Linked DNA regions of Nothobranchius furzeri. The protein of the gene in region 1 purifies or fractionates together with the protein of each later gene. This does not show direct contact. Links are inferred from orthologs where the notes say so. Each region holds a gene or a part of one and is shown on either strand. Other genes may lie near its edges.

Region 1 (4,222 bases):
TCTCCATGACTGCAAGGTAGAGCGACAGCAGGGACAACCAATCACACGTTAGTATGTGCAGCAGAGCCAATCAGTGAGCTTGTAGGCGGGTCTAAGGGAAAATGGGCTCAGAATGGGCTTCAGCTTGAAGCGGCTGCCTCCGCATGGTCCTAGTGCCTGATATGTATCACAGTATAACAGTTTTGAACAGTAAAATCTGGCGAAAGAGCGGAAAAAGGATACTTAGGGTACTTCGGACAAAAGGGGCAGGTGCTCAAGCACCCTCCGGCCCACCCCCTCTACACGTGCCTGCTGCACATAAAATAAATCAAATTAAAGAAGGTACAAAAACTCACAAAAGATAAGTCAATCAAAGAAACAACATTTCGAAAAAGAGAAAAGCTGCCATTAGAATATACCTACAGAAAAAAACAAGCAGGAATTTAAATTAGCGAAACATTTTAAAACACCACGCAAAGCTTGTGCATTTTCCTGTTTTATATTTATTTGTCCCACTCCGGTCAAATAAATTCGTTTTTTGTTTGTTTTTATTCTCCATAAAAGCTGGCACCACTAGAGGGCAACATAGTCTTTTTTTAATCAATTTGACAGTAGAACGAGCTCATGCAGCCCTTAGATTTTCTCAAGACAAGTTGAATTATTTTTTCAAACTTTGCCACAGTGAATGATAAAATGAAACTAAGATCTAAGTTTTCTGATTTATTTAATAATCTCTGACATAAATTATGTATAAACATTTTAAAGGGGAAACACTAGGATGTAAAAACAAGCCTACTTTAAACAGACAGGATGATCCAAAGTGTAAAGATTTCTCAAACATGAGATACACAACAAGAATGAAGCCAATACTGAAAAAAACATCTTATTGATGACAACATTAAAACATGGCACAAGGAGACTAGAAAACTCTGTAAAGCTTAAAAACACAAATGCAAAAAATTTTCATTAAATAACTATGACACACAAAGGAGCCCAAATGCATTTAGTACATTAAAAAAATCCAAATCTGTTGGTTTGAATGCTAGGTTATTGCGATTCCAAGAAAAATATTGAAAATACAAAACACAGAGGCACAGAGAACAAACACAAAGAGGTAGTCACCATGGACAGAATACTTTATTCCTTTTTTTATTCTCGTTGTATCTGGTAGTGTGGGGCCTAACAGGAAACTAATGAAATTCAAGATTCCCCAAAACCCCTTTAAGCTGTGAAGATGCTCTGAAGGGTGAGAGTGGAGGGTTATTTCCTTTCTCTCCTTCTCTTCCAGATATGTGAGGCAGAATACGAGGCAGCGCGCTGCCTTTGTTCTGCTGCTGTCTCAGCAGGGAAACACATCTCTGTTCAGAGTGCAGCTGCAGCCGGCCTCTTTTCTCTCTCTCTCCCCCTCCTCCCCCGGTTCCACCAGGCCGCGCTTGCGCACTGGCTCCTCTGTGCGCTCTACTGTTTGCATTGTGTCTGAACTGCCGGCGAGCTTTAAAAATATTATACCCACCGCGGCAATGTCGGGCAGGTCGGTCCGAGCTGAGACACGGAGCAGGGCGAAAGATGACATCAAGAGGGTTATGGCCGCTATTGAGAAAGTACGAAAATGGTAAGAGAAAGAGGATGAAAGACTCTGCTTCGTTATCTAACAGGAGAAAGGCTTGCTTGTTGGGGGAGGAGAGGGAAAGAACGAGACGGAAAGAGGGATGAAATAGAGAGATAAAGGGTAGTTTTTGAACGGGCTTTTCGGCAGATGTACCGGCGGCTCAGGTGCACCGGAGCCGCCTCGGCAGGCTGTAGCCTCCCCACCGGTCGCCCTCTCCGCTCGCGCGGGGACACACTACATGTAGCCGGTGATTTTCCGTTGGTTTTAACGGCAAAGGGTTGAACCCAGAAGCCATTTCGATGCAGTCACATGAAGCCATTGCTGCCTGCCACCGAGCTGCTCGCGCAGGCGGCGGTTTTCGGAGCGCAACGACCGAAGAGTCTGGACCTGGAAACAATTTGACGACGGCGCTCTGGAGTTGGAGCAGTTTTGTCCGTCTGGAGTTTTAAATTAAGCGCTTTGAGTCGCCCTTTAGGTCTGATAGAGAACTAGGCTCGGTGGGGGTTGGGAGAGGGAAGTAGCTGCTGGGCTCTGAACACGTCAGTCTGCTCGCCTTTTTACACCTAAATCACATTTTGTTCACATCAAACCTCCAGATAACACGCGTTAGTTTCCAGGATGAGAGTTTTATCAGTTTGGAGTCGCGACTCTGCCTGCTTGGTGATTAACCAAAAGTCCACACAAAGCCAGAAAGTTAGATTGTCGCATAACTTTTTTCATATTTTCACTTTTAACATGATGAAGATCAACACAAAAGACACAAGTTTATACCTTTATATTGTTTTATTTTATCAGGCTTTTTGATGTTATTTATAAACATTTTCGTTTGGTTGATCTAAAGAGTGACTTTGTTCAGTTAAACAGTTATCCACGGAAGTAATGCACATTGAATTTTATTTTTATTTTAAACATTAAATGGTAATTTTGTTGAATTGTATTTTTTTTTCGCCCATTCTTATCTGAAGCAGACTTAATTGATAGTTCATTATTAGTTAATGGATACTAACTTTGCAAATGTTAAAAATTTCACTTTTTACATTAATTTATTTTGCAATAAAGGTAAACAGAAGTTGGAACAGGGATGTCCAAACTGTCCTTTCTGCCCACAAACATTCTTTTATTAATCAATTTATGTTAAATATGATGCAGTTATTAAATGTTTTTTTCATTCTCACTCAAAATAGGCCAAATACTCAAAAAAAAAAAAAAGAACTTAATGTGAACAGCGTGCTGGAGATAAAATTCCAACATTCTAGAATTGCATATTAGGGCCACACAAAATCAGTGTGAGGGCCACAAATGCCCCCTGTGGCTCTGGACCCATTCTACTGTGCTGTGGTCTATCGTCCACCTGGTCCAAACAGTTCTTTCCTTCAGGAGTTTAGTGACTTTCTATCCTCCACTGTGAAGCTGTCCAGACTGGTGATTGTTGGTAACTTTAACATACACGTTGATGATCCCTTTGATCACTTTGCCATGAATTTCGCCAGCCTCATGGACTCCTTTAGCTTTACCCAGCATGTTTCTGGCCCCACACACACCTGGGGACACACTCTGGACCTTGTTTTTATCCTGTAGCCGGTGTTTGTCTGAGGACGTTTATATTTCTGATCACTATTGCATTTTCTTTAACTTGTCCGTTTCTGCGTCCCCACCTCCTGCTCGCCATCTGGTTAGTTCTCGTTTTCTTAATGAGAGCACAGCTAGCAATTTTTCTGCTGCTTTTGATCCACCCTGTTCTTCTGATAATGACCCAGATTCCTGAACTTCTCAGTTTAACGAGCACTGCCTCTCCATTCTGGACAATATCTGTCCTGTCAGAACCAGATCAGTTCCTGCAGTGAACCCTACTCCCTGGTTTAATGACAGCCTTCGCAGCCTAAAGCGCCAATGCAGAAAAACTGAGCGCTTGTGGAAGAAAACCCATCTCCACGTCCATCTGCTGCACCTAAAGGATCTTCTGACATCCTTTAACTCTGCAGTCAGAGACGCTAGGGTTTCCTATTTTTCCCACCTGGTGTCCCAGAGCAAAAGGGAACCCCAAGGTGCTGTTTAACACCATCAGCAGCATTGTCTGTCCTGCCGGTGTCGGTACAAGATCTGCTCGGGTGCAAAATTGGCTCGGGGTCCGTCGACTGCCGATGACGTCTAAGTAGTTGATTGGCTGAACATGAACCTTACGGAATTACGCAATCATGTTATGTTGGTCCAGGCAAATCTTTCTGTTGGAAAGGTGGACAACTTTTACAAAGAAATCCATCATTACCTCTTTGAAAATACACTCTAGAGCTGCATGTATATTAGGGCTGAACGATTAACTGCATGTGCAATTAAATTGCGATGTGACAAAAGGAGATTTTCTAATCGCAAAGGCTGCAATTTGGCAGCGAGTGGTTAACGCAATGCTAATATACATGGAAAAACCCATAGGAATGCTAATGCTAATATCGCCGATTACATTATTACAAATTATGAATTAGAAACGTGCCAAATGATTACATTTGGAGTCTAATAGAAAGTAAAACTACCATCAATCAAATAAGTACAGACAGGTATTTTAGTAAAGCCAGAAAACTTTTAACTCCAGAGTTTTGGCTAGCATCTATGAGCGTAACTATACGCATGGACAAGACG
Region 2 (4,189 bases), on another chromosome or scaffold:
TAGAAGCCTGTAGGATAAGCCTGTTCGTGCACCAAGGTATAAAGCCCAAAATGAAAATTATAATTACAGTGTAGATGCTTTTAGATGTCCAAAAACACATGCCCCCCCCCCCCCCCCCCCCCGGGCAGCCAGCAATCTGTTTCTGATCCAACACAAAGAGATTATGCAAACAAATGGTGCCCCATGTTTTGTGCTGCCGATTCTCCATACTGAACAGAGAAAGTGTAACATCATCAAAAGTTGGGGGAAAAAATACATAAACTGTTGTGAATTTTTGCAGGACCGTAGCTCAAAACATTTAAAACTTTGCTCATCTTAGGATCTCTGCATCTGCATACAATCAACAAGCATTCAAAGAGGATCATGAGTCAACTGAAAAACCTCATGGAGGCACCGCAGATTCAGATCACCTCTCAGACACGGAAGCAGTTGGCTCACTAATTTATGTTCCCCTGCTGTGATGAAAGGAGATGTGGTGTATAATTTGTGTGATGTTCCTAAACAGAGGGAGATGGTGCGACTTGCAGTTCATGAACTTCTGATAAAAATTAAAAAAGAACTAATTACTGCAGTCTGTAATGTTTTGATATTTTTCACATTTCAGCATGTATTTTCTCGTTGAATAAAAGTTACGCATCTGCTGATGCTCATGTGTTGCATGTCAAAGTGATTAATTTGTAAATTAATGCAGCTTATTTCAGTTTTATGAGACAAATGGGACAAAATCACTCAAAATACCATTCTTATCTGTGCTTTTCTTCTACTTTAAAGTAAAATCTCTTTTCTTACGGTATTTTCAGTAAAAGTTCCAGAATATGTTGTTTTGGTTTAAAAATATTCTGCAGACTTTGTAGATGTCATAGATGTTACAGATATGTGAGCGAAGTTAGAATGGGTTTTTATTAAATTTTTGGTCTTGCAGGAAGCAATTGAAATGATGCTAAATTTGTATAGTGGACACTTTTTTCAGAGCTCCAGAAACAACATTTGGATCAATTGAACACACCAATTAAAATACAAAAACAATAAAAATAAGTTTTTAGTATGCTTAAAAATGCAAAATTAAGCATGTAGTTGTTTTCTGCACCACTTTGGGCTACAACGCTTCTAATTTATTTATTTATCAGGCTTCATGGATGGTTGAAAGACTATCATCAGCATCTCAATAGAAAAGCTAATTTATTTGTTACCAGATGTGAGCAGCAGATAGCGCTGTTTCATCTCCAACTCTCCCCATTGAGCTTGTTCTCGCGTTAGCTTCGTGCTTCCACCGGCGGCGACACTCAGAGAGGAGATGGCGGCCAGAGGGGGGTTTCAATCTGCTCCGACGGGTGGTGGCGGTGGAGCAATGGGCCCTGGACCGCCAGCAACCGGTGCAGGACCAGGTATGGGCCCCGGTACTCCCTCTGGAAGAATGGGGCCTTCGTCAGCCGCGCAGAACCACATGTACCGCTCTCCGATGCCCGGGCCTGGGTATCCGGTGAGTTCTCGTTCCATGTTTGCTGCTGACGCGTTAGCTTGTTCGCTAGAACAAAGCCCCTCATCGCTCCTTTGTTGCTACTGGCCAACGTTGTTTCTGTTTCTCCATGAGGACCAAAGCTGTGACTAACTCTCAGGCTGGTTGAATAGAGTCAGTCTATCCCAAAACTTATTTTAGCCACTTCCCTTGAGTTACCATCGGTGTGTTTGAATTTGCTAACCCATCCCGCCCGCAAACGTTAAAGTTTTAGTAAGCAGCTAGTTAGCTCATCATGCTAACGTTGCTAATTTGCTCTGTAGTTTGAATAAAAGCACTCCGAGAGGGCTCGAGTAGTGTAGGAAAATTCACAAAAAGTGAGTTTGTTACGTTTGAAAGTCCCAATTCGATTAGGTTTGGGATTTTCTATTTATTAGATGTCTTAAAATCAAAAGTCTGCTTTTGAATGAAAAGTTTACACTGATAAGAAACCATCAGTTTTCCAGACGGAAAAAACTAAATAAGAATAAAGCCTCAAATTCCGTTTTAATGCGTGAAGTTTGTGCTTTTGATCTAATAATATACTGGAAATAATTTGTCACTGATGGATTTTGTACTTTAAAAATATTCTAGTTAAACTTTCAAGCCTCACCTTTATTCTAAATTCTGATTTTCAGATCAGACTAGTGCTACTTAATCATGAGTTAAAGAACAAAAGTTTTCCAGATGTACTATAGTTACAATAAAACTAAAATAATAGTTTAGTCCCGCGATCAAGAAAGTCAAAATATTTCCACCAAAGGACACAAGCCAGCTGAGCAAAGTTTTTCTTTAAATGACAAAGGTAATGTTTTGTGTGTTTGTGCAGACTGATGTTTCAATTTAACTTTTAATATGCAGATGTCTGTTGAAACTACTATCTGATAGGTTTAACTCATGTAATTGGAGTATCAGTTAAAGGTTTTGATCATTCATTTAATCAACTAGCTCAACCTCCTGAGCTACTGTTGCAACAACGAATTGGGGAAAAAAATTGATTAAGAAATGCATTAGCAATGCAGTTCATCATCACTTTGTTGTGTTGTGCAGCTTTTTTAATTTATTTTTTTCATGTAGTGCAACCTTTTTTTTAACAGTCAACGTGTGTGCAGCTTATGGGGGGGGGGGGGGAATTTATGTAACTCTTCTGTTTAGATGTAATAAAAGCTTGAAATTATGAATGATTGGGGGCGTGTCCTTTTGATGGACAAGTAGCAGAGGGCTAGGGGTGGTCGGCGCTAGGGGCTTCCCTCCTGCTTGCTCCAGGGAAAGCTTCAGTCTGCCTTACCTTAACCCTCCCACTGTCCTAATGGGTGTGACCCCATGAGGAAAGTTGACCATTGAGCAGGGTTGATGGTTTATCCCTTGGGTCCATGTGGCATGGGCGACTAGTGACCACCACCTCACCACTGCCACGTGGACTTCAAGGGATAAACAATCAATTCTGCTCAACGGTCAACTTTCCTCGTGGGGTCACCCATTAAGACAGTGGGAGGGTTAAAAGTGTTAGCTTGTCCTGCCAGGGTTGGTCGATTTGTCATGATGACATCAACAAACAAAATAGTCATCAATAAACTTAATAGTCTACGTTGTTTATTCTACGCATTGTTTTAATCTTACCTGCTTCAGCAGTACCACTGCTGCTTGCGGTCTTTCTGTTCGAGGCACGTGCGCAGTAGCGGCCATTCGGGTGAGCCATTGCATCACCGGAAAAACAAGACATGGCGACCTGCAATGTAGCACAAAGTTTGAAAGCATTTTACAAAAATAAGCATGTACAGTGCAAAGTCTGCAAAGTAGGACTTCTTTCACAAGAAGATAATGCTGATGAACGAACGCCTTAAAAGGAAGCACGTCGTGGCAGAGAACAAAGGGGGACAGTCGCCTCTTTAAGCTAATTGCCCCTCGTTAGCTGCTAACATCATCAGGGACAGTGTTTCCCCTAGGAATTTTTCCAGCTGTGGTGGAGGTGGTGTTGGCGGGGGGGGGGGGGGACTATGACACGTCTCACCTTTATGTTAATATTGTTTTATTTGATGCACTCCACTTTGAACTGCACCAGTCCAGCGACTGCTGCAGTGTAATAACTAGTATTAAAGGTGAATACACCAATATTTGCACAAGAATAATTTCTGTTTTAAACTCTCAGTGACACACTTTGCAGGGTGGATTTGGCATTTAATTTTTCTTGGCGTCTGGAAAAACATCTTCTTTTTCCCCCTTTATTTGACTTTCTGCCCCCTTTATTTTGGTCCAAGACCATTACTGGGCTGGCCCTCTTAAACGCGTTCTACACCCCTGCTTAGTAGAATTAATGAAGTATTTTTAAGCCAGTATAAAAATGACTGAAACACAAATTTACATATTTGGCATTATTGACCAATATTTTTGATTTAATTTATTTGTTAAGAACATCAAGATGCATTACAGTGAACATTATAATAAGCTGGGCGGACACTGTGCGACTTTTTCACTCGTAACACAGCTTCAGCTCAAACTGTACGACTTCAGCGCAGGGCAGATCTCACGAGTCATGTGCTCACTGTACATCTGGTAGCAACACATCGGACCTAAAATATGCTAAAAATAGCAGTTTTTACACAACACGTCAGACTTTTTTGTCTTGTTTTGCCTGTTGTCCTTCAGGAGTGCTGCAGGAGGACACACAGGGATTTATGGGGGTTGGATGAGGAA

Evidence for each region. The genes of interacting proteins can lie anywhere in the genome.
Region 2: the proteins of bcl7a (region 1) and smarcd1 purify together in Homo sapiens (affinity purification with mass spectrometry; 5 studies listed by BioGRID and IntAct, counting the BioPlex papers as one, with this or other methods). This does not show direct contact. The link is inferred for Nothobranchius furzeri from reciprocal best matches to the Homo sapiens genes BCL7A and SMARCD1.

The regions. Positions count from the first base shown.
Region 1 is NC_091746.1:40,383,702-40,387,923, forward strand, and holds the start of bcl7a (B-cell CLL/lymphoma 7 protein family member A), read left to right. Parts: upstream 1-1,403; 5' UTR 1,404-1,499; coding exon 1,500-1,591; intron 1,592-4,222.
Region 2 is NC_091743.1:58,867,441-58,871,629, reverse strand, and holds the start of smarcd1 (SWI/SNF-related matrix-associated actin-dependent regulator of chromatin subfamily D member 1), read left to right. Parts: upstream 1-1,251; 5' UTR 1,252-1,294; coding exon 1,295-1,480; intron 1,481-4,189. UniProt on the Homo sapiens protein: Involved in transcriptional activation and repression of select genes by chromatin remodeling (alteration of DNA-nucleosome topology).